Drosophila melanogaster: one gene and its partners. The protein of the gene in region 1 interacts with the protein of each later gene in a pairwise test. Each region holds a gene or a part of one and is shown in the gene's direction. Other genes may lie near its edges.

What was found.
Region 2: the proteins of CG6933 (region 1) and CG3528 interact in a two-hybrid assay, tested with the Drosophila melanogaster proteins (one large-scale study listed by BioGRID).
Region 3: the proteins of CG6933 (region 1) and CG15126 interact in a two-hybrid assay, tested with the Drosophila melanogaster proteins (one large-scale study listed by BioGRID).
Region 4: the proteins of CG6933 (region 1) and eIF4G2 interact in a two-hybrid assay, tested with the Drosophila melanogaster proteins (one large-scale study listed by BioGRID).

What each region holds. Positions count from the first base shown.
Region 1 is NT_037436.4:20,217,385-20,223,520, reverse strand, and holds CG6933 (uncharacterized protein), read left to right. Parts: upstream 1-3,100; 5' UTR 3,101-3,169; coding exon of another isoform or gene 3,170-3,176; intron 3,177-3,285; 5' UTR 3,286-3,417; coding exon 3,418-3,460; intron 3,461-3,857; coding exon 3,858-4,906; 3' UTR 4,907-5,019; downstream 5,020-6,136. Other genes in the region: CG17145 (uncharacterized protein), read right to left, coding at 604-1,601, 1,663-1,669.
Region 2 is NT_033779.5:2,515,439-2,520,849, reverse strand, and holds CG3528 (uncharacterized protein), read left to right. Parts: upstream 1-2,812; 5' UTR 2,813-2,893; coding exon 2,894-3,199; intron 3,200-3,252; coding exon 3,253-3,654; 3' UTR 3,655-3,748; downstream 3,749-5,411.
Region 3 is NT_033778.4:19,688,253-19,692,880, forward strand, and holds CG15126 (uncharacterized protein), read left to right. Parts: upstream 1-2,545; 5' UTR 2,546-2,592; coding exon 2,593-2,754; 3' UTR 2,755-2,826; downstream 2,827-4,628.
Region 4 is NT_033777.3:23,815,110-23,821,765, reverse strand, and holds the start of eIF4G2 (eukaryotic translation initiation factor 4G2), read left to right. Parts: upstream 1-2,528; 5' UTR 2,529-2,785; intron 2,786-2,946; exon of another isoform or gene 2,947-3,154; 5' UTR 3,155-3,539; intron 3,540-4,735; 5' UTR 4,736-4,754; coding exon 4,755-6,525; intron 6,526-6,656. Other genes in the region: CG34355 (uncharacterized protein), read right to left, coding at 20-236.

The sequences.
Region 1 (6,136 bases):
CTATTTCACTGTCGCTTTCGATAGGTTTTTGTTTGGAAAATCAGAACTTTTGAAAACATTGATTGTAACCAACGAATAGGACAGTGATTATCATTTATGGTCTCCTCGGTGAGGCCATGCTATTCCATCGTTACCACCTGCAAGAAAAGTTTCCATGATTGAGTGAATTCTTAAAATTCTATTTGTTCATTTACCTAGTTTTCAGCTGAATTGTTCCAGGAATATTAAACAAAATACAGGTGTTCTTCACTCACCCATCAGATATTATTTATTCGAATTTCGAACTAGAACTTGTTTAAGATTATTGTTCTTTTTGGTAGCTAATCTTAAGCATTAGAGCAACGAAAACAATCTACGTTCTTATAAAAACGGGTAAAAAAACAATATATCTCAACTACGATCCTCGAGTTACAGCAAAGATACTGGCTTACAGCAGAAACTTGTCATTGTGCATAAACACGAACTCGCTAGAGAGCCGCGTATCTATATCTATGACAATCCAGGTTCCACAGTCCCCGAAAGAATCCAAACTAGTGCACTTCATTACAACACTTCCTTAACCAAATATCACATTGCATTCTGAGCTTTATTGGAAATACATGCCTACGTCTTGCACGCGGTGTAGGTCTGGACACTTGGAGTGCAGGCGCCCTGCTGGTCGTCGAAGAAGTAGTTGCCGCAGGACCTCTCGCTCACGGTTACCCCGTCGGAGCAGCTCAGATAGTTGCGACAGCCCTTGGTGGCACTAACGACAAAACTAGCAGTCCGACCGTCGCAACGATCGTGGGAGCAATAGACCGAACTGGGGGTTATGCACATCTGGCTGCTCGCATCGAAGAATCTGTCCTGGGGACACTGGTTCCACACCGGATTGGGGTCCGGGGTGCCATCCTTCTGCTTGGCGCAGTAGAAGTAGCCGCGACAGGTGGCTTCATCCGCGACGAACTTGTTCTCGTAGGGCTTACTGGCCTTGCCGCAGACATCCGTGGGCAACGGATGGGCATCGCAGTCCACCAGAGCCTTGGACACACACTCGCCCGTGCTGGCCTGATAATAGGTTTTCGAGCATGTCTTGTCCTTCAGGACGCCCTTCTCACAGACGTGATACATATTGCAGCCCTGCAGATTGTCGAAGTTTACGCCGTTCTTAACAATGCTGCAGTACTCGAAGGTGCTGGTGGTGCAATCCGATTCGTGTTGGCGGGAGCACATCTGGGTGGTGGCATTGAAGTGCGTCTCCTGCGGACAGGTGCCGTACAAGGCCGTCTCCTCGTCCGCACAGTAATAGTAGCCGTAGCAGGACTTGGGGTCGGCCACGAATTGCTTGGCCCGATCCGCGCAGGATATCGAGCAGCTGGACGTGGAAGTGGACAGTGACTTAACGCATTTGCCCGTGTCCTTGTCGAAAAACGGAGTAGATCCCGTGCATGTACTGTAGTAGCTGACGGAATCGATGCACGTGATCGATTGACTGCAGGATTCGGGATCTCGGATCACCGTATTATTGGAGAACAAGCGGCAGATGTCCTCATTCCGGCCATTAACCACATCTAGGCCTTGAAGCAGTAGCACCAGTGCCACGCCCAGTATGGCACCAAATTCTGCAATTTGAAAAAACAATAAAGTTAGATTTACACCACTGGCAGTTTGCAATCCACTCACTTTCCATTACAGCTCAACTTTGGACAAAGCATAAACTCGTACTGAATCTGAACGTCGACCTGCGATTACTTATAAATATCAGAGGATAAGCAGCAATCACTATTTGCTGGCAAGATAAGCGGATTGGTTTTTGAGGGGTATTCAACTGGGTAAGATGGGTTAAATAAAGATGAATAGAAGTCATTTGTTAAAAGCTCGAAGATTACAATCAAATGTATTGATTTTGCTTAGGGATTTGCTATATAATATTTTTGAAAAGGTAAATGATAGAGCACAAAAAATGGGAATGTTTGATAAAATTGTATTTATAAATTTAATGTTTTTAAGGAGCATTCATAAAATTTTACTTCAGAAAAAATTAATTATATTTTTCGTTGCTAAAGTACTGGGTGATTTCTAGTCGTAGTGAATGGTGATTTTATAAACAAGTTGGAGATTGCCAATTGGCTACCGGTAAATTAAATAGGAAGTAGATAAGTTATCATTTCGGCCAAAAAATAGTAATAAAATGAAGAGCAAGATCAGCTGGTTTAATTCATAAGGCTTAGTGGGTTAATAGAGAGCTTCCCTTCTTTATTATAAAAAAAAAAACATTTTTAGTACTCTACCAATTAAATATAAAAAGTAAATAAGCACGTAGCTTGAACTATTTTTTAAGAATTTAAATTACTTCGAAAATGCCTTGTGATTTGGAAAAAGTATCGAGTAAAGTGTTTAAATGTCATTGCATACTTATGGGCGAATTTCTAAACGGACAAAACTCGCTTTTAGGCGAAACAATAAAATAAGGCGGATAGATTTAAAATAGTTTAACGGAAAATAAAACTGACTAAAAAAATGGGGTTTTTGTTATTAAACATTAACATCAATTATTTTTATAGATTATATAGATAGATAATAAAATTTCAAAATACTTGCATATAATTGTACTATTTAATTATGCATACAAATAAATAAATATATATAACTCATAATTTCATAATTTCATAGTGCGATTTATTTATTTTGTATTTCAGTTCAAACGGTTCTTTTGGACAAGTTATTAATATAAACATTTGTAGTTCGGTAATTTTTCCCCAGAACCTGATAACCTTCAGAGGAAAGTCTAGTCAAGTCAAGTCAAGAGTCGCAGTGCGATTCAAATTGAGATATCTAACTAATGTCGTGTTGCTGAAATGAGTGCCGAGATACCAGGGAAACACCACTGAGTGATCAATAAGAGCCGTGACACTTTCCCGCCTCCTCGAGCTTCTTCGAAATTAAAAAACAATTATAGACAAAGAGGGTTCGCAATCAGCAGCTGATAATCCAAATTCCGGCGCGGCTGTCAACGTATAAAAATATATATAAACTATATATACATACTAAACTAAGTATGTATGGTGTCCGCTGGCCAAGAATCGATTTGAGCTTATAAGCCAGTCCATTTTGGCCGGGTCCGCTAGTTTCACTTTCGTCGTCCAACGCCTTCGAACCGCCTTCAAGCTAACCCAACAACTTCGGAGGGATGCAAGGTGCGTGGTTTACCCCAGACCTTAGAATCTTATCTAGCATTAATTTCGATACTAACGCCCTACTGGCGGCTGGCTTATCTGGCTGACAATTTTTTAATTACCCACCCAGTTCGCGCCGCGAATTGTCAACTATAAAAACGCAAAGGCTGCAATTGATTGAGTTAGTAACGAAATCGGAACGTTCGCTTCGGTCGTCTGTCTATCAAGTGAATTTGTCCCCGAAAAATATTAGCATTCCAAGATGGGAGGTACGTTGGCTCGAAGAACGGATACAGTTATCTCAGGTGCACAGTATTCAAGACGTCTTGCTTCGACTAAATTTTGAAAAGTGGTTTCAAACATGGTTTTAAGGCCCTGAAATTCTCCTGCAAAGGAGATGACTTTCAAAAATGGCTAAAATGACTTTCAAATTTCGATTTGTTACTCAAATTGAGTTTTTCTTTCGTCCTTAATTGATTTTTTATCCAAAAAAAGGGCTGCCGTGTTGGCTACAACAAAGGCTTAACCAATTTTAGAGACGCTAACACGAATTTTGGATTGAAAGCTATCAATTTTGTCGTTTCTAGCATAATTTCTTTGCATTATTAAGTACAAACAAAATAGAAAACTATTCGACGATTACACATGTCTATATTTTATTTAATAATTCATAGTTCGTATCCCCCTGTATCCCCCATTTAGCAATCAATATGAGGATCTGTGTCGTGGCCGCATGTCTCCTAATGGCATCGCAGGCCACCGGCTACACGATGGATGATCTGTGCCAACAGTGGTCGGGCTATGGATACATCGGCAATCCGAGCAACTGCCATGCCTGGGGATACTGCAAGAACCAGGAGGTTGTGGCCTGGGGCACCTGTCCCAACGGCTTGGTGTTCAACGCGCAGGCCGGCAGCTGTGATTACGCTAATACCACGGTGTGCTCCACCAGTGCCGTTGAGACATGCTCCAACGTCAAATCTCCCATGTATGTGGCCAATCCGTTGAACTGCACCGAATACGCCTACTGCGATGGCACAGGCCAAATCTCCTATGGCGATTGCGGCACCGGCGGCGTCTATTCGGCATCCTCCACAAAATGTATATGGGGACCCGCCTGCCCGCAGGACACCATCTGTCGGTTCATGTTGTCCAACATCTTTGTAGGCGATCCGAACCAGTGCGGCAACTACATCAACTGCGTCAACGGCTATGGCACTTCCGAAAAATGTTCCAGCACCGCCAATCCCTACTATAATAAAGCCACTGGCAACTGCCAGTCGACGAATCCGTGCACCGGCGAAGATTCAAACAGTGGAAACTCTGACCAGTTCACTGTTGGGCAAACAAATGCAACTGCTTGTGACGAAGAAGCTTTTAAAGCAGCAGATCCACTTACTGTAAATGGGGAATCTGTTGACTATAGGTACGTTTCTGATGGTGTCACCTGCTATGGGTACTACTACTGTGCAGCAGTAAACGCCACTGGCTATTGGAACCAATGTCCCACCGGTACCCAATTCAATGCTGGCAAGTGCGTTTCGCCAGCCTCCTTTGTCTGTACCCATAACCGATGTGGGAACGTTAACAATCCATTCATGGCAGATGAGGGTTGCAAGAACTACACAATCTGCTCCAGCGGAATAACCGGATCATGTCCCACCAATGCGCCGTACTACGACGAGGTGAACAATATCTGCACCACCAAAATTCCCGATTACGCCATTTGTAATTCGACGGCTAGTACATGAGCATCTCCTCCAGCCACGTCTGTTTGCCGAGATACCTTTTATGAAATATATAAATAAATACCAATGCTGAAGGCATTCAAAAGAAACTAATAAAAATGTTGACTTCGACCAAGCGAAATTTGTTTTAAATGTTGTTGTTTTTGAAATTGTTGATTAGTTGTTCGCCTTTTTGGTAGCAAATCTTTCAAAAAGAGGCTCACAGAAAATGTGCCTCAAAATATAAATATAATTTCTGCGGGATGGGTATTTGTAAATGTTATCTGCCAAGCTAAGTTAATTAAATAATTAATTAAAAAAATTCAATGGCCTCCATCTATTGTATTAGAAGAAGGTGGAACAGTAAAACCCCATTGCTTGGGAAATTTCTGGAGAAGTTACTTGATTGACGTCAGCATTGAGATATTGTTTTGAATTCAGTACTTCAAAGCCTAGTATTGTAGTAGGCTGCTCCTTCTACCCTCTTCCTTTACTCTTAGTCATACATACCTAATTATACATAGCCAATCTAGTCATAAGCTTATACACTCATACACCCATCCTTAACATACAAATATTATCGAGAAACTTATCGACTAATCGACTCGCCACTCTGCAGAGAGCGCGGCAGTCAGTCGCTGTTGAACCAAGCTAAAGGACAGATCAAAAATAAAAGAGACACGTGAAATTGTATTAGAATATTAACTTCTGTAAACGGCGGCTAAAATCTCAGAAGTGGGATTAATAATCCAAAATGGACGATAAAATCATCCTGAACGACTTTTCGCTGACAACCCTAAAAGATTGGCTACGTATTCTGGGCCAAAATACGGAGGGCACAAAAACCGAATTAATCGCGAGGCTGCAAGACATCCCAACGGCAGTTCGGGGCGATTGTCCACCGGAGCACCCCCAGAAAAACGCTCCACCAGGAAACGACATTTTTTCTTCACTGGATTTTCAGAATTGTGAAATTAACACCGATCACGTAAGTGTGAATGCGATGAACAGAAAAGAATCAACCGAAACTGGCAGTGAGAGGGAGACAAACATGTTCGAGCTACAGCAACTACGCGCAGAGCTAGCAGAAGCGAAGGCAATGCTTAACGGAACACGATCGAGCTTGCAGTTCCAAGAACAACAACAACCAGAGCAAAGCAAGGCTACAGTTAGTTCCGTTATCCAGACGGCGCAGTTTACGCAGGCTGGCGCCACAAAAGAGAACACAACATTTCACTCGCCGCAGCGATCCAA
Region 2 (5,411 bases), on another chromosome or scaffold:
GGACAACGGGGCGATTTCCTACTGCCGCCAACGGCACTTGTAAAATCACTTTGAATAATATTGCATTTGGGCTCGGGCCCATTGCTGCTTTTGTCTCCCTTTGAGCAGATTAATTTCCGGCATTTACACTTAATTCCCCAGTTTCTGTCTAAGACCCAGTCCCCAAAATCGATGCAATCAGCTAAGGAGCAATTTACCAACATGTCAACGGATGGACAGCAATCGAAGCAGCCGCATTAGGCAAAATCGGGGCATACTGGGGAGGAAAGCTTTAGATTTGCACACATTACCACTCAATCTTCATATACCCAGTGTCTATGATATGCAGGATTTGAGGCTGTCCCATCTTGCCCAGTTCCCTTTTGCCCGCTTGGGCAAATCCTTCGGCCAGGACCTCGGCATGCACATGATGTCCACATGGCCGCAAAGATTTATTTACAATTGTGTTGAGACATAATTCCTTTTGATCGATTGCGGGACCACCGCTCCCAAGGGATGTGGATGTGGATGCGGACGTGGATGTGGAATGGACGGGCTATGGATGTGGCTGTGGAGCTTTGTGGTCAGTTGTAAGTGATGATTCTTTTGGTCCGTCCTTTGTCTTGGCTGCGTTTCGTTGGGCTCCATTTTCCCTGGAGAAAAGTGGAGAATGCCGAGAGAGGGCAGAATTATTTGCGCAATTTATGTGGCTTTGATTTCATTGGCTAGATGTACGGCCCGGGCGAGGGCAATTTATGGTAACTTGATAATTTGTGTTAGCATTTGCCAACAGTTCAAAGGACTCGTGGCTGTAAGCCATTTATTTGCCGGACATGTGGCACTACTACCACTGCCAAGCGTCATTATAATAAGGAAATTGCACTCCAGAGTGGCGATGGGATTACACAGAAAATCTGGGAGTTTCGTAGTTAGGGGTCTGCAAAATGAAATCAAAATAGGAATTATAAAAACCCCTTCCTGGTTGACTTGCACATGCAAGCAGTATGCTTTTCTACGCTTTTCGGCAATCATGTCCATTGTCATGCTCGAAATGTATGAATGCTTGAAAAAATATGATTTACATATCTAGAAGTTCTCTGATAACTTCAATCTATGCAACTGCTCAAGTGGATGATTGGCATGCCCTGTGCGATAATGACGGCAACTGCTCAACTATAAATTCCAGCCCTCAGTCCATTCAGCACTTTCTGCAATTGAAATGCAGTTGCAGCCAGCCGACTCATTCATCAGAAATGTGCACTTAACACATGGCAAAAGCAGCCTCGACTTTCCCGAGGCAGCATTGAGCATTGCCGCCTCATTCTTTGGTAATGCACATAAATCCTTAGAGTGCGCACTTAACTCCTTTTTATGCTGCGACAAAGTACATTTACTAATGACCAAGTCAAACAATGGCCACGGCCAAGACGCAGCGGGCGAAATGCGAGTCCTGGCAGTCCTGGCGGTCCTGTAGGTCCTGCCAGTAGACTGGCGGGAAGTGGGTATGTCGTGACTTCAGCGGGGAGCAGGAGGATTGGCCCACGAAGTAGCAATTTACGCGCTCAAGACGGCGGCAAGCGGCAAGATGGTGACAAAGCATGCAAAACGGAACAGCAGTTGTTGCCCCAAAGTGATGGAGAGGGGGGAGGGAAGGGAAATTGTGAGAAGGCTTGGGAAAATGCAGAGGAAAACTATGGAGGGGGATCTGCACGTGGAGGAGCACTGAGCTCCAAGTGTCGGCAGCGGCTGCATGTTAATTGCTGCAGCGACGACAGCAACAACTGCAAACAGTGGGAAAGCGTGTCTAAATAGCGTAAATTCACACAGACACACACCTTCACGCAGGCAAGGGGAAAATCTAGCTGCGTATTGTGTGTGGAAATTGAAAAGCGAGCTGGAAATCTGCCAGGAAGTGCAGGACATCTTACACACCCTATTTGATATATAAATTATGGCTGATTAGCAGCGGCTGTTGGCATTGTTTTAATTGGTTTACCTGGTGATTAATCTCAAATGGCGAAAGGAACTTTGAAAGTGATTTATTTTTAAGGCAGGTTACAGTATCCTGTACAATTTCATAGACTTGGGTACATTTTTTAGTTGACTATAAACTATTCGTTGCAAGTTCATCAACTGGTTACCGTTTATGTGTAAATCTGATCTGATCTGAAAGTCCTTGGGATTCATAGGGCGATGTGCGGAACACTAGGTGTCACTTGTTAGACTGCTAATCCTCGACAGTGTGCGCTCAACGGGATATCAGGCGGAAAAGGACAAAGAGCGCTGCATACGCACAGGCTGAAAATGCAAATTTTCCCTTTGGCTGGCTGGCAGTTTAAAATGTTGATGAAGTAATTAGTTTAATATGCGAAATGCCCCTGATGGGCGGCGGGAGAGGGCGTGGCACATAGGGAAGTGTAATTGAAAATACTCACAGTTCTGGGCTAAAAGGGACAAGGGCACAGTCGGGGCTTGGGCATTGTGAAACTTTTTCCATTTATTAAATTTGCCACACGAACAGCGCAGCGGATTCTGCCAAGGGAACTCTATGTGGGAAATGTTTAATTATTTGTGCGCACATGAAATTAAAGCTGTTACAAATTGTTACAAACCATTCCGGCTATCAGTTTCTCAAACAAATTTCAATTAAGATAAGACTTTTTCACGAGTTTCGAAAATTAGAAGGAATATTTTTTGTGCTCAGCTACTTTCATTCGAAATTGAATATGAGAACAACTCTGCTTCTTCAGGCCCAGCAAAAGTTTTGCCTTTTGAGCCAAAGTTGGCAGTTTGTTGTCAGTAATGTATTTTGCTCGAACTTATTCAAAATATTATACATTTTGATTTACACGAAATCACAGTTTTCTTGCCATTCAGCAGCTTTTCAGTTTTAGTTTTTTGAGTTTCGCGCGGAATGAATCTGATTAACTTTAATCATTACCAGGACTATGTAGACAGCTTCATAACCATCCAGGACACTCGCTATTTGGGCAACAAAGAGATCCAGAGGAACCTGATCCAGAATGCCTGCGGTAAGAATTGCCTGGGTAATCTGCTCACCCGCGAGCAATTCTACCAGCGGAAGGAGAAAGAGTTGGTGCTTCTAAAGCCAAGGGGACTACGAGGACTCCAACTTTTTGGAGACTACTTGAACAACAAAGATGAGGTGCTCCAACAGTTTGCCAATCGAGAGAAGAAGCTGCTCGAAAAGCAAATTTCGGTTAGAAGGTTACATTTATGTGTAGTGAAATGTGTACATTTTGTAATTTTTAGACCGTCGTCTACCTGGTGATGCGTTCGAAGAAGGGTCTAGAGATCTCCAGCTTTCTGGACCTGGAGCAGAGTCTGCGCGAGTCGCGATTCGAGAACTCTACAAGCTGCGTAGACTGGCGGGCCATTTTCGAGGGCAGAACGAAGCTGAGGCCATCGAATCTGCATCTCAGCTACTTCGACTGGCACCAGAATCGTGTGTCCTTCAACAACAGCGACAATTTCCGGGTGTTGAACAAGAGGCCCCACAGTCTGCTGCTAAAGCATGTTGGCGATCACAAAATATTCTGTGTGAACGCCTCCTGCGATTGCGAGCACTCGAAAAATGTCAGCCGCAAAACGTATTTCTCGCCCATTTATGGATATGTCATATTCTTCGACCACATAATCAGGCGCATTAATTAGCGACGGCTTTAAAGTGTCAATGAACGTAATCGTCGTTAAATGAAATGTGCAAATAAATCGAAACGAGGGCGCATTTGTCGCTGACAGCTAACGTAAATTGCTTTTCATATCTTATCAGTACAGTTCTGGTCGCAGTTTTTGATGGACGTTTCGAGGTCCTTCCGCCCGGCGAGTCCTCCGTCCATCAGGCGGCGGAAATTACCCGAGCTTTATGCCACTTTGTTGAGTTTATCGCAGTCAGGGAACATCAATTGCATAAATCTATTAACTGTCGCCCGGCGGAATGGGGGCGTGGTTGAGCCTTCAACTTGACCAATATGTTTCTGTTTGCGCATTTGCCATTGTTTGCCAACTTGCTTGTGTGGGTCAGCTTATGACGCTTTGTTAATTCTCCCAACAGTGTGTCTGTTTAATTGGCCTTTCCACTCATGCAAATCAACTTGGCCAAAATTTACACAAGGCTGAAAGGAGAATTTGCTACGGCTTACACATTGGTGGTTAATGAGTTGAAAATATTAGTAGTCAGTCTTAATAAAAATTATATGAATACAATTAAATCCACTCTGTTGCCCAGATACCATGTTTTTGGAGAAGCAAATTCAAATAAATATTAAATACGCCTAAATTATGATTTAAGTGCCACATGCAGAGGCAGTGCAATTTAATTTGCATATACAATTAGCTGCTAATTTACAACTTTTAGTCTCCACTGGGCCATGGCTAAGTTCGCCCAGAAACAATTCAATTAAAATAAACATTAAGTGCTGCAGCCTCAGCTGCATTTGCCCAGCCAGTGTTCAGGTGCAAATGGAGGTCCTGGGTAGCAAGGATAAGTAATATTCCTCCCACTGGCGGACACAAAAGTCCAAATAAATATTTGCTCGGCTTCCCTTAGTCAAGTCCACAGAGCCGTGAGCTGGTCTATGTGTCTTTGTTCTCCATTAAGATATGGCAAATTTGTTGCCCCCCAAAAAAACAAACAGGAGGATAGAAATTCAGAAATTCCCTTCGGCTGGCATTGAGATTGCATTTTACGGGCCAAATAAATTTCATACGATATAAACTACCAATTTGCCGCCAGACTGCATTTTCAAGACCAAAAGCCCGCGCTGCCAACCAGCCTGCCTATATATTTCGATTAACAAATGGATAAAATAATAAAATAATTGTGTTATATATTCCCCACCGTGTTTTTGCGATTGTTTTGACAAATTTCACCAATGATCATTGAGCTCTATTCAAGCCAATCAGCCGTATACAATTTAGACTTTTGACCAACGCAGTCAAGTGGCTTTCATTTAATATTGTGAAATCCAATGTATAAATTATGAATAAACATAAAGTCTGCTTGTGGCCAATTTAATTGGGCAAATGGCAAACAATAATGAAAATGAATAATTTAAGTGCTGGTGGAATTGATGTCAAAAAGCTCATGGTTATTTAAATGAAAGTGTGCACATTCAAATAGCCCTGAGTCATTCCAAAGGCAACGAGTTGCGCTCCATTCTCTGCAATTCCATTAGTTTTTTAACAGCAAAAACTCATTTTAACTAATGTATACATTTTTAATGATTTCCCGCTAACCAAAATATATTTTCCTCTCTCTATTTTACCCACATGTATATTAACGAAACTGTGCAAATTGAATATACATTTTCCCTGACTAGGCGCATTTCAGAGTGCCTAATGAGTATGTAGATCCTGTCAGCGTTGACTTGCTGTCAATTTGATTGGATTTATGCCTGACCTGTGGGTCA
Region 3 (4,628 bases), on another chromosome or scaffold:
AAGTTTTCATTAATTCACAACTGTTTGTATTTCGAGGCACAACTAATGCTTGCCCCATATTATTAGTGTGGGCCTTCGTGTGTGTCAAATGGAAGTGGCAAGTGAGGGGGCGTCTCCGTTTCCTCTTCAACTTCGAATTCTGTCACACTTCTAATAAGCGCTTAAAAGCCACGCAAGGCTATCCAAAACCTGTGATTAAATGGGAAAACTAGGGGAAAACCGGGGGAAACCCTCTGTGGAAATTTGACCGCAAGGCGAGTGACAGAAGTGGCACAGGCCACCCAATAATTGTGCATGCCCAGTGGCACCCGAGCGAAAGAAATCACTTAAAAACTTGCACACACTCGCCACACGGTCACCTATAAATTATGCTTCACACTCAGTTCAAATAGAAGTTGTAACAATGAAATTAAAGCCACCACAAAGGGCAGTGATAAGCAGTGAGGAGTGTTGCGGGAAGTAGGGGCAACTCAACGCGATCATAAATCTAATGTGTAATAAATTTAAACAGCGAAATCATGCAAAAAGCAAAGGCAGGTCCTGTGGCTTAGCTCACGCACAGGACTCCTTTTCTAATTTTTTTTTCTACTTTTTTTTCCTCGACAATGACTACACTTTAGCGGCAAATTTGTGCGCATTGTCGCCGTATTATTTGCTATTATTTATGCCTTTTCCACTATTTACTTCCTTTCTTAGCGCCCGCCACGCTATTTTCAGGGGGAGGTATGCAAAAGTGGCCACTCCTTGGCCAAAGGAATAAAACCCACACATTTACAGCCGCGATCAGTTTAATAGTAGTTTTTATAATAGTTAAAAAAAAACCAAAAAAAAAGTATAACGCGAATATGAACCACAATTAAAAAGTTATTAAGTATTATGAAATGTATTGTAGCCAAAAATAACTAACAAAACAAAACTAATAAATACCATAAGTCTTAGGGTAAAAACCGAACCATTTTGTTTACAAAACATATTATATAGATCTAGCACTATTTATGTAACCGCAACTGTATCCACATATAGAACAGACGGGAAAATACACTGGGAAAACCGCAGGCAATCATGGCTGGCTGACACTTATGGCGTGCTAAGCATTTGCGCTCGGAGAGGCTCGCGTGGATTTTAAACATTTTCACACAACATTCTCATATTTAGACGTCGCCCATCAGCCAGTGGAAATTCGCCTGCCGGTGTGTGGGTTTTGCCTTTTGCCAACCCGGCGATAATGTAAGCTCCTTTAAGCCCGAAATAAAGAACGCGAAAAGCGGACGCGAATGCGACCGCACCAACAACATGCAACGGCACACGCGACCCCAAACGAAAATCTGTGAAATGTAATTGTTACCATGAAAGCAGGGCCAACTCCCCTTCACCGTTCCATTTGGCAAGGGAAACCCCCTTTTGAGGGCATTTTAAGTAAGTTTCGCAGTTTGATAATCGCCGGGCCTCAGCCGCCAACGCTGATATACAAATTGGCTTTTGCAATGACTTTATATATTTTACGAGTTGCGGTCCTTTTTTCGAGTAAGCGTCCTTTCGTCCTTCAGTCCTTTAGCCGTTTTCCGTTTCGCATGTGAGCAGCCCTGGGATGCGATTATAAGGGAAAACTGATGCAGATAAAATTAATTGAATTCAAAAAGCCAAGCCATTGGTCTTGCTCCATCCGTTTTCTTGCCGAATGTGCCTGCACTTGGCTTGGCGAATTTTCGCCATACTTTTCTGGGTCATGTCATGGGGAAAGTAAATAGTTACATGGCCACGGCTGCCTTTTCTTTATCAGGAATTAAAATCAAGTTGCTCCACTCGCATGAACTATATATGCACTATAGCAATCTCAATGGCAAATTGACAAAATCAGATTGGTGGAAAGTTCGTATTCTACAATTATTAAGTACTATTGCCTTCATTGGCAAGGGCAGTAAATAAAGTACAAATGGAGTTTCGGTTTCAGAAGAAAGCCAATAAGTCGTGTATTCTAAGAACATTCGAATTCGTATTTGAATTTCCATAGAATAATGTTGATCGATTGGGCGGTCTTATAAGCACATAATTCCGCAAAATTTGAAAGCCATTATCTTATCGATTTACCAACAAACCTTTTAGAAAATCGGAAATACCTTGGAATAGATTACCAATGAAAGTTACATTTGTTATCTCTTGGGTTATGTTATTTTGAATTATTATTAAATTTTAAGTGTACAATAGAGAAAATGCACATTTCACAAAGTCCCAGCGGTAGTGTACTTTTTATAATTTTGGAAGCTTAATCTTATCACTTAAAAACTAGAAGCAAAAAAAAATTGTACATATGGCTATCTCAGAAGGAGACCTTAGAGGGGTTTTCCTCATTTTATTTGTCATGACTAATTCAGCATTTACAAGGCCTTACTCATCGCCATGGTCATCATAATATTCCCATGTTTGTGCTAACTAACACTTCTATCGATTAGCAAGCAATACTATACAGATTAGATAGTACTTATCTTTATGAGGCAGGTCTTGATTAGATTTACCCTGACAATATGGATTTAGTTGCCTATAAGAGTTGGACCCAACCGCACGGTTTTCAAAGTTTGCAAAAATATCTGAATAATGCCACCACCACACGGAGGACCCGGAGGCCATGGACATGGAGGACCGCATCATGGCGGACCCCCGCATCATGGAGGCCACCATGGACCGCCACATCACCATGGACCGCCCCATCATCACCACGGACCTCGTCCCTGCTGCCTTTGCTGCACAATTTCATAAGAATTTATAAAGGAATTTATTAAAGATTGTAGTTTTAAGAACCCTCACGTAATAAATACGAATGCCCCGAAGGAGTTCTGTAACTGTGTATGTGTTTAAGGTTAATAAGACGCCTAATTAGTGTAATCGAGTGCCTCGAGTGCTAAGCAATTAATGGCTGGCTAATCATTATGTGTCACCTCAAAACGCTTTAAAACCTCAAAAGCCGCTGCCATAATACAAGTGTACCAATGGTATCTGTGTGTTTTGTTGCGTGTCGGGAATGCGTGTGTGTGTGTGTGTGTGTGCGTATTTGAGGGGGAGTGGATGGATGTGGTTGGAGGTGGAGATCCTGTAGCCATACACACACGCACTTCACATTTAAGGTCGGACTGGTCGGTGGCTCTAATTTATAGCAGCCAAGTGGATGCCGAAGACCAGAAGACATACAAGTGCCATAAATTCTGGCAAAGGAACACATTATTTATACTGTCAACCGGTCCATATTTCGGATGGGAAATACTACGGCCTAACCATAAATAAGTGCATTGCCTTTGCTGTGCTGCGAAATAAGTCTTCATTAGCGGTTAAAAGGCTGACTGGTTGACCCACAAAGGACTTCTTAACGCTACGAAATCGGTTCCCTATTCTCCATTTTCCGATTCACATTGAGTTGTTTTCGTCGCCCAGCCGCAGAAATGCCGCATTAAAGCCGGAAATTCCCAAACAACAACAAGGAAAATGCTTAAAGTTCAAATTAAGCACAACAGCTGGCGAAAAATTGAATTGAAAGCAGTAGGAGGAGCAGGAGCGGCAGCAGAGTGCCAACAAAAGCAACAAAGAGTCGCTGCTCCCGGTCACCCAACCCCGAAAAATCCCCAACCTTAAACCTCGAACCCAAAAACTCAACTCAACCCAAGGCATTTTCACGAAAGGCAGCGGAAAACAGCCAAGGGAAAACCTAAAAGGAAAAACCGAAGCACGCTTTTGGGCGACAGAGGCGCGATGTTAGCCATAACTTCGGGCCATCAGCTGGTGAAAAAAGAGAGCATTAAAGAGACAAAAATCCAAGTTATAGCTGAAAACTGAGAGTACCGATAAATTGAGATTTTCCTGGCACAGTGGCGACATTTTTAATCATAGTGTTTCCTTGTGGTACTACGACACGCATGCGTCGACATATTGAGTGAAATTGGAAAAATCGGAGAGCCAAATCTGAGGTTTAGTTAGTGCTTCGAACAAAGCTCAAGGGTTTGGATGTCTATTGTGGAACATTTGGATTGTTCTCCACCGATAGACATAAAATTTAAGACCCTGCGAACGTTTACTGTTTCGATTGCTTGCAATGGCCAAAAGCAGTTTTGTTAAGTGCTGATTAGGAATTCGAACCATTTTATCTCTACTTATAAAGATTGTCAATCAAAACACAATCTCAGGTGCTACTAAACCAGAAATACAAAAATATTACTTAATATAAAAGTCCGTATATATATATGGAAATTTCTTGGAAGTATATTATGACATGCCTTTTAAATAATTGCAAAAATATCCAATGGCAAGGAATTCAAATGCCATTACAAAATTTTAATTTTTAATATTTCATTGTAGTTTTCACCAAATTTTTATCTCAATAATCGTTAGTTACATTTAGACATGTCTTAGTAAGCATTTAAGGGGCTTTTATTTCGCAACACCTGAATCATTTTCTATAGAGACAATGCGTTTTAATGCCTCTTGCTGGCTCTTGTATACAATTTCCTGACTTTATTTATTCAGCATTCCTGATTGTTTTTTGCCTTTCCTGCTTCATTTCCTGTGCTTCACATTCACAATGATGCAAAGTGGCTGCCACTAACGCTCTGGCATTATCCCGAAGTGTGTAATTACGTATGCTG
Region 4 (6,656 bases), on another chromosome or scaffold:
ATGGGTGCCACTCACTTACCTTGACAGACGTGGCATTGCAGGAGCACTGCAACAGCAGCAACAATAGCGAGCTGCGACCATGTGATGATGATGGGTAATCCGTGGGCAATCGGCGTGCTCGTCCTTGTCGATGGTTTTATTGTTGCTACTGCTGCTGATGGGGCTTCCGCTTGTCCCTGACGACGCGTTTTCCACGAGGTGGTTTCCCTGACCAACCTGCTCGCTTTCCTCCACATTTTCGGCTGGGCGATTGAAACAAAAGGCGGAATCAAAGCAAAAGTAATTTCGTTGGCTCCCAAATTTTTCCACTCGTATCGAACTTTTGGATGCCTCGACGGTTACCAGAATCCTGCGCTTGCGTGCGTGGGTGAGAATGCCCGGGGTTTTGGTTTTTCGGGCACAGGTGCTTCCAGGCCGGGGGTGGGGCTTAGGTGGGAGTTCGGAATTCCGCGCTTCGACCTTGTTTCAGATTAGGTTTTCTTAATTTTGGTGGGTTTCCTTTAAGCCAGCCAAAGAGCTTGGCGGCAAAGTGTAGTAATCCGTAGTCCTTGGCGAAGTCCTTGTTTCGAGGTCTCAAAGTGCTCTATATACACACATTGCTTCGCTATATATATACATTTATCTGTATGTACTGTCGGTTGGTTATTAATTTTCTGTTTACTTTTTGTATGTTTTAACTTGTAACTTATAGTTGCATAACATTTGCTTTTTGCATTTGCAAACAATGCAATTTACGAATACCGCACTTATGAATTTCTTTTAGAAATTTCTCTAATTATTGCACAATTTTCACATTAACATTTATGGTAGTCGAGCTTATACGCGATTTACTTTGAGTAAATCTTGTGTTTGGTTTTATTTTAATTGATTGTGTTAAATAAACGGTAAAAAAGAAACGAAAAAGTTTTATTTTGGGCTATGCCCATTCTCGTTTTAACGGGTTTTCAGTTCGCGCACTATTTTTATTCGTTTCTACATGGATGCCAAAATTATATGAGTAATATAAGAGTTGATTTCGTAACCGGCTCAGGTGCAGTAGTCGCAGTCGGTTGCAATTTCAGTTTGGTGCATTCTCTTCTTGTTGTGCAGAATTTTTCAGCGCCAAAGTGGAGGAAAGTGATGCGGGAAAAAAGCGTTACGCGCGTCAGGGCGAATCAAGCTTCGGACTTAGTGTGACCGCAGCGGGAGTAAAGGAATTCGCTTTTGGTGTGGCTGCACTCGCGTCCCCGAAAGATACCATGCGGTGCTGAAAGAAATACCAAATTAAATCATTATGGGTTCAAAATATACCAAAAAGCAGAGGCTTTTTTTTTAAGGGGGATTCAATTAATAAGTATACTTTTAAATAAATTAATAAGATGTAAGACGATATTATCTTTGAAAAATGTATAAAATTTAAATAAAACTTTAAAAATCGTATCTTTTTGATCCAAATTTCGGAAAGTGTTGCAATTTCATTTTCGAATTGTATTGTCAAAACCTGCCGCTCAGGTAGCGCACTCAGCGACCGTTATATTCAAAATGTTTGTGCTGAGAGCAAAATTATTGAAAAAAAGTAAGAGCCTCGTCCATTTACTCATCTGTTGTCCTCACACTATCTTTAGTGCAACCGCAAAGGCCACAAAAACATGACAGTACGCACAGGAAAACAAGCATTGCAAATGACTTCACAACTGAAATGGAAAAAAAAAAATGCAAAATACGGACAGTCCGTATGCGGTTTCGTTGTGCCAAGTTAAAATATTTGCATTTGCGGTCTAGTCTTTTTGCATTTTCAACCACCAAATAATCCCTTCAGACTCTGTTTGTGGGCTCTATGTGTATATAATTTTTTTAGGCTGCAATAAGGCTCCGAGTTCATTCTTGCACTCGTTTTACTTTAAAGTTTTGGCCATAGTGTATACTGAGATAAGGAGTAATAAGTAGAGAAGGGTATAGCATTGGAAAAACGGATACTAGAGGGAGGTGAGGGCGCAGAGTAAAGGATTATGTGGGAAGTGGAGGGCGTTGCGCATCCGGCAAAACAGAAAGAGCAAAACTTTTACTACAAGCGCGTAAACACTGCAATTTCTGCACGAGGGGTAGTCTAAGAGCATTAAGGGGAGGCAATCCGGAAGTTGCGAATGGAATGGAAACAGGATTCTGCGCATATGCTGTCCTACGAATGCGTAAATTATGAATATATCATTCAAATTAAAATGTAAAGTTAGAATAAACAATAATAACAGCGAAATATGTGTGGAATTTATATGATATTCTGCGTCATGCACCACAATGCGCATTATATAATAATTGTTATTATAACACCTGCATAAGGCCTATTTTTCTATTTCGAAAGAATGATTATTCTTATGATGAAGAACGTTCAAAATATTACGCGCCAAGCTTGAATCCAAGTTCTCCACCCCGGTTTGAGGACGCACTAAAATGTATAATATTCCTGCGGGATATTTCTGGAACTTTCACAATCGATATTCGCTGCGTAGACATCGATGCTGCCGCCATCGAGTTATGTTCCATCCCTACGTGCAACGGTCACTCTTATTTCATCAAACGAAACGGACGTGTTTCTGCAGACTATTTACATTACAAAATTGTTTGTAACAGATAGTGAGCCGTGTATACATAACGAGGTGAAGCAGACGATGCACTAATGTAAAGGCGCAGTGCCAGAGCAACTTTTTGGCGTGTTCCCCGCGTGGAACTGCATTTTTTTTTGTTTCCTTCCTCAGTTTTGTGTGTGGAGTGCGAGCGAGAGAGCGTGCTAGCGAGCAGGAGCAGAACGGTAAGTACTGGCGGCCAGACAGAGACAGAGAGAGCGCAAAAAAAGAGCGAACGGCAAAAAGTCAAAACGGTAAAAAAACATAAACCAACGCCTCGCCTTTTCGGGGAAAAGTATTACCTGAAAATCTGAAAAAGGTTAAAAACCTACAAAAAGTCCCCTTGCCATTAGTGTCAAATTACGAATTGGCACTTGGCTGCCCATTTCTCATTCTCAATCCGGGGCTGAGGCTGCTCAGCTGGACAAGGAGAGGGAATAAATTCGTAGCAGGCGCTGCTTTGGTGTTCATATTCATCATATTGTAATTTTGATTCCTCGCAATTGCAAAATTTAAGCATACGTTTTAACTTCCTCTAACGCCTTTAATTACAGAACAAATTACCGTGAAATTTTAGCACTAGCCGTACGTTATTTTGTATATTTGTACGCATGTACGTGTACGTGCCCCTCGTCCGTCTGCACAAATGCAGATGTGCATGTGCATCACAGTGAATTGGAGTATTTTTATACATGGAATATCTGAGCTATTGTAGTATTCCGGATAGAGCCAACAACCACAAAGACGAGGAGTTTCCACGAGAAATAGGAAAAAGGAACGGAGGAGCAAATAAGCAGCAGCAGGAGGAGGCGTAGAGCTTGACCAGGTGTCAAGGGAAGCCGGATAGGCTTAAAGGCAGGTCTACCTTAGGAACTAAGAAATAGGATAAATCGAATACCCTTATAATCATCACATCTACCAATCGAAGCACAGGAAGCGGTAAGTTTCGAAATCTGACTTACAACTTACTCCCATTCTAGTATTTGCTTGCTTTTTCACGCAATTTACATTAATTGTTTGTTTATTAGTTTAATAACACACTACTACTACTATAACACACTGCCTCCAGTACGAATGCACTCCCAATAAGCGATCGCGATCCCATTTAGAGCAGCACCCACACACTCCAACTGGTTTTGTTTACAAACAAACATGAAACAAGTGAGCCTATCTGCCAGCCAGGTTTTCGTTTTCCTCGCCATGGAGTGAAAAGAGCCATGCACGTACTTCGTCTGCTGGAAAACTGGTTTTCTTCTGGCTTGAAGGTGCTTGGCCGCAAACTGCAGCGGAGTTGGTTTTTCTAGGCCAGCAGAGAGCTCCAAAGAGAACACCACAGTGAATATTGGCCAATGTTTGTCTTCATATTCTTATCAATCAGCATTGAACGCTTGCTTAGCAAAACAACAATGAAATTCCGTTTGGTAGTATTATAACTAAAAGAAATCATATCGTAAACAGTTTTAAGTGATCTAGTTCTTGCGGTCTCCACTGTGCCGATGGAAGTGCTGACGGAATGCCAAACTGGTTGTAGCCATAAAGACGACAGCAGCCCATAGCTCACCTCCTACGCTCGCTGGCAGCTGCTTCTTTGTGGCTGCCTTTGTTTTGTTCCGCTTTAAGGCCAGTACTGACTAATAGCGCCACTTGTTACCGTGTGTCACCTATGTACAAGTATTTAGGCTGCGCAAGTGACTAGTCCATTGATAAAACCGGCGCGATAAGGTGTCGAGCCATCTTCGAAAGCATTTTGGATGTATACACGCCCCGCGAGTGACATCATACACCACATTCCAATTAAAGAGCTCAATTGATTGAAATATTAAAGAATAAAGAAAAGGGTAAAAGAGGGAGTGCATTTGTAAAATAGCCCTTAGTCATAAGATGTAAACACATAATTTGCATGATCATTTTTGGTTGCTTTTGCACACGTTTGATTTAACTCTCATTCGCATGTACTCACGGCTTTGACTGAAAACCTAATACGCCAAGCATTTTCCACATCGCCAACTCCATTTTCACTTTCATTTCCATCTTACTAACATTACGATTTGTACATCTGTTTTGCTCTGGCCGCGGTTTTCCTAACTCTCCGTGTGTGCCTGTGCGTGTGACGGTGCGATTGTATGCGTGTGCAGATCCTTCGAAGGTCCTCCTATGTTCCCTCAACAGGGAGGGGGTGGGAAGGGAACCAGGCCACAGTCGACACATCAGCAGAACCACAACCATCAAGCCCAGCATCACCAGGCGACGCACTCGCACCACCATCACCTCCAGCAACAGCAGGAGCAGCAGCAGTCCCACGCAGTGTTCGTCCCGAACCACAGCGGCCTGCACCACCACCAGCAGCAGCACTTACTGCAACAGCAGCAGCAGCAACACCAACAACAAGCAGCCGTCGCCGCCGCTCATCTTCAGCAACACATCCAACAGCAACAACAGCAGCAGGTGCAAGCCCAGGCCCAGGCGCACCACCAGCCGGTCATCTTCTACAATACCCAGCCGTCCTACGCCGCGCATTCCGCGGCGGTTAACAACAGTGCCAACGGCGGCGGCGCTACCCTCCAACTGAGCGCCGCCGCCAGTTCCAACACGTTGGGACATCCTCTTACTGGTGGTCACCATGGTGGAGCAAATGGCGTGGCGCCGGGGTCAAACATGCCTCGTGCCCTGAGCAACCCAACTCTACCACCCCACTTTCAACAATCAGCTGGCCTGATCGCACCTGCCGGCGGAAATGCGGGTGGACCCTACATTTCCGCCACCTATATACCAATTAATCAGACCGGACCTCTGATGGGCATGCAGCCAGCTGTGACCTTTCCCACTAACGGAGCGGCTGGAGCTTCATTCTATGCGGCTGCGCCACCTCCTCCACAACAGAAACAGCTTCCTCCCACTGCTCAACAACAAGGTCCAGGCGGGGCACCGGGAGCTGCTCAAACGCCGACACTAGCTTACTACCAACTTGGGCCGAACGCTCAAAACTCTGCTGGAAACAACGTGGTTAGTGGTGCCAATACACATCGCGGCAATATGCGCGGAGGGCAAAGATCTACTCCCACCGCCCAACATACCAACTACTTTACCGCATATACCATGGCCCCAGGAAATGCCCAACGTCCCGCTCCGACAAATGTGGCTCCAATGATGAACTCGCGCAGCGGTGCACTGAACGGAGCTGCTGCTTTTCATCATCTGCCGCACAACTTTGGCATTCCCAGTTTGGCATTGGGACCGCCCGCCGGGATGACGACCCCTATTTTGGCTCCGGCTGGAATGCAGGCGCCGCCACCCCAACCACCAGGCGGGCTGCACACATTTGCTCCGCACTTGCAGAGCAACAGCGCCACCACCTTACCTAGTGTCCCAAGTGTGACTGGAGTTCCCGCGGTGGCCAGTGGTTTTTCAACCACCTCGCTTCCAACTCCGTCAGTAACAACAGCACCGCAACTGGGGGCCAACAGCGATAAGGTATGCAAGCGCAAATACGCCATTCCCATCATCCATCCTGACACCATGGAGAATGTGATGGATGGATGGAAAAGATCGGTTTTTATAAAAAAGGACTCAAACTCGACACTAACACAGCACACAGATCTGGACACAGCTCTGGATGACAATAGTACCTTGTGCCTGTACCAGGCGCCCACTCTGATGGACTCTGGCTCGGGGTCATCGTTATTGTCTGGCGCAATGGTAGATCAGCAGATGCAGACTGTGAAGCCGGCGAGTTCCCTTAAGCAGTCCGTTTCCTTGGAAAAGGTGCCAGAAGCGGTGTACTGCAAAGACGCTGTCGGTCAGGACGTACACCCATCGCCTCCACCCAAATCAACGGATAAAGATCAGATCAGCGTAATTGTAAAAGACATACTAGCCCACTCGGGCAACGCAGAAGACCATCTAAGCTTCTGGCAATATAGTGACGGTGAGTTCATAAAAACGTCCAAATTTTCTTTAGAATTGTATTTGTAAACGAAGGGAAGCATCTCAATATCGTTGAAATGTTGAATTGAAGTTAGCCGGGCTTCAAGTGTCAAAGTCTAATGATTCCTCTTG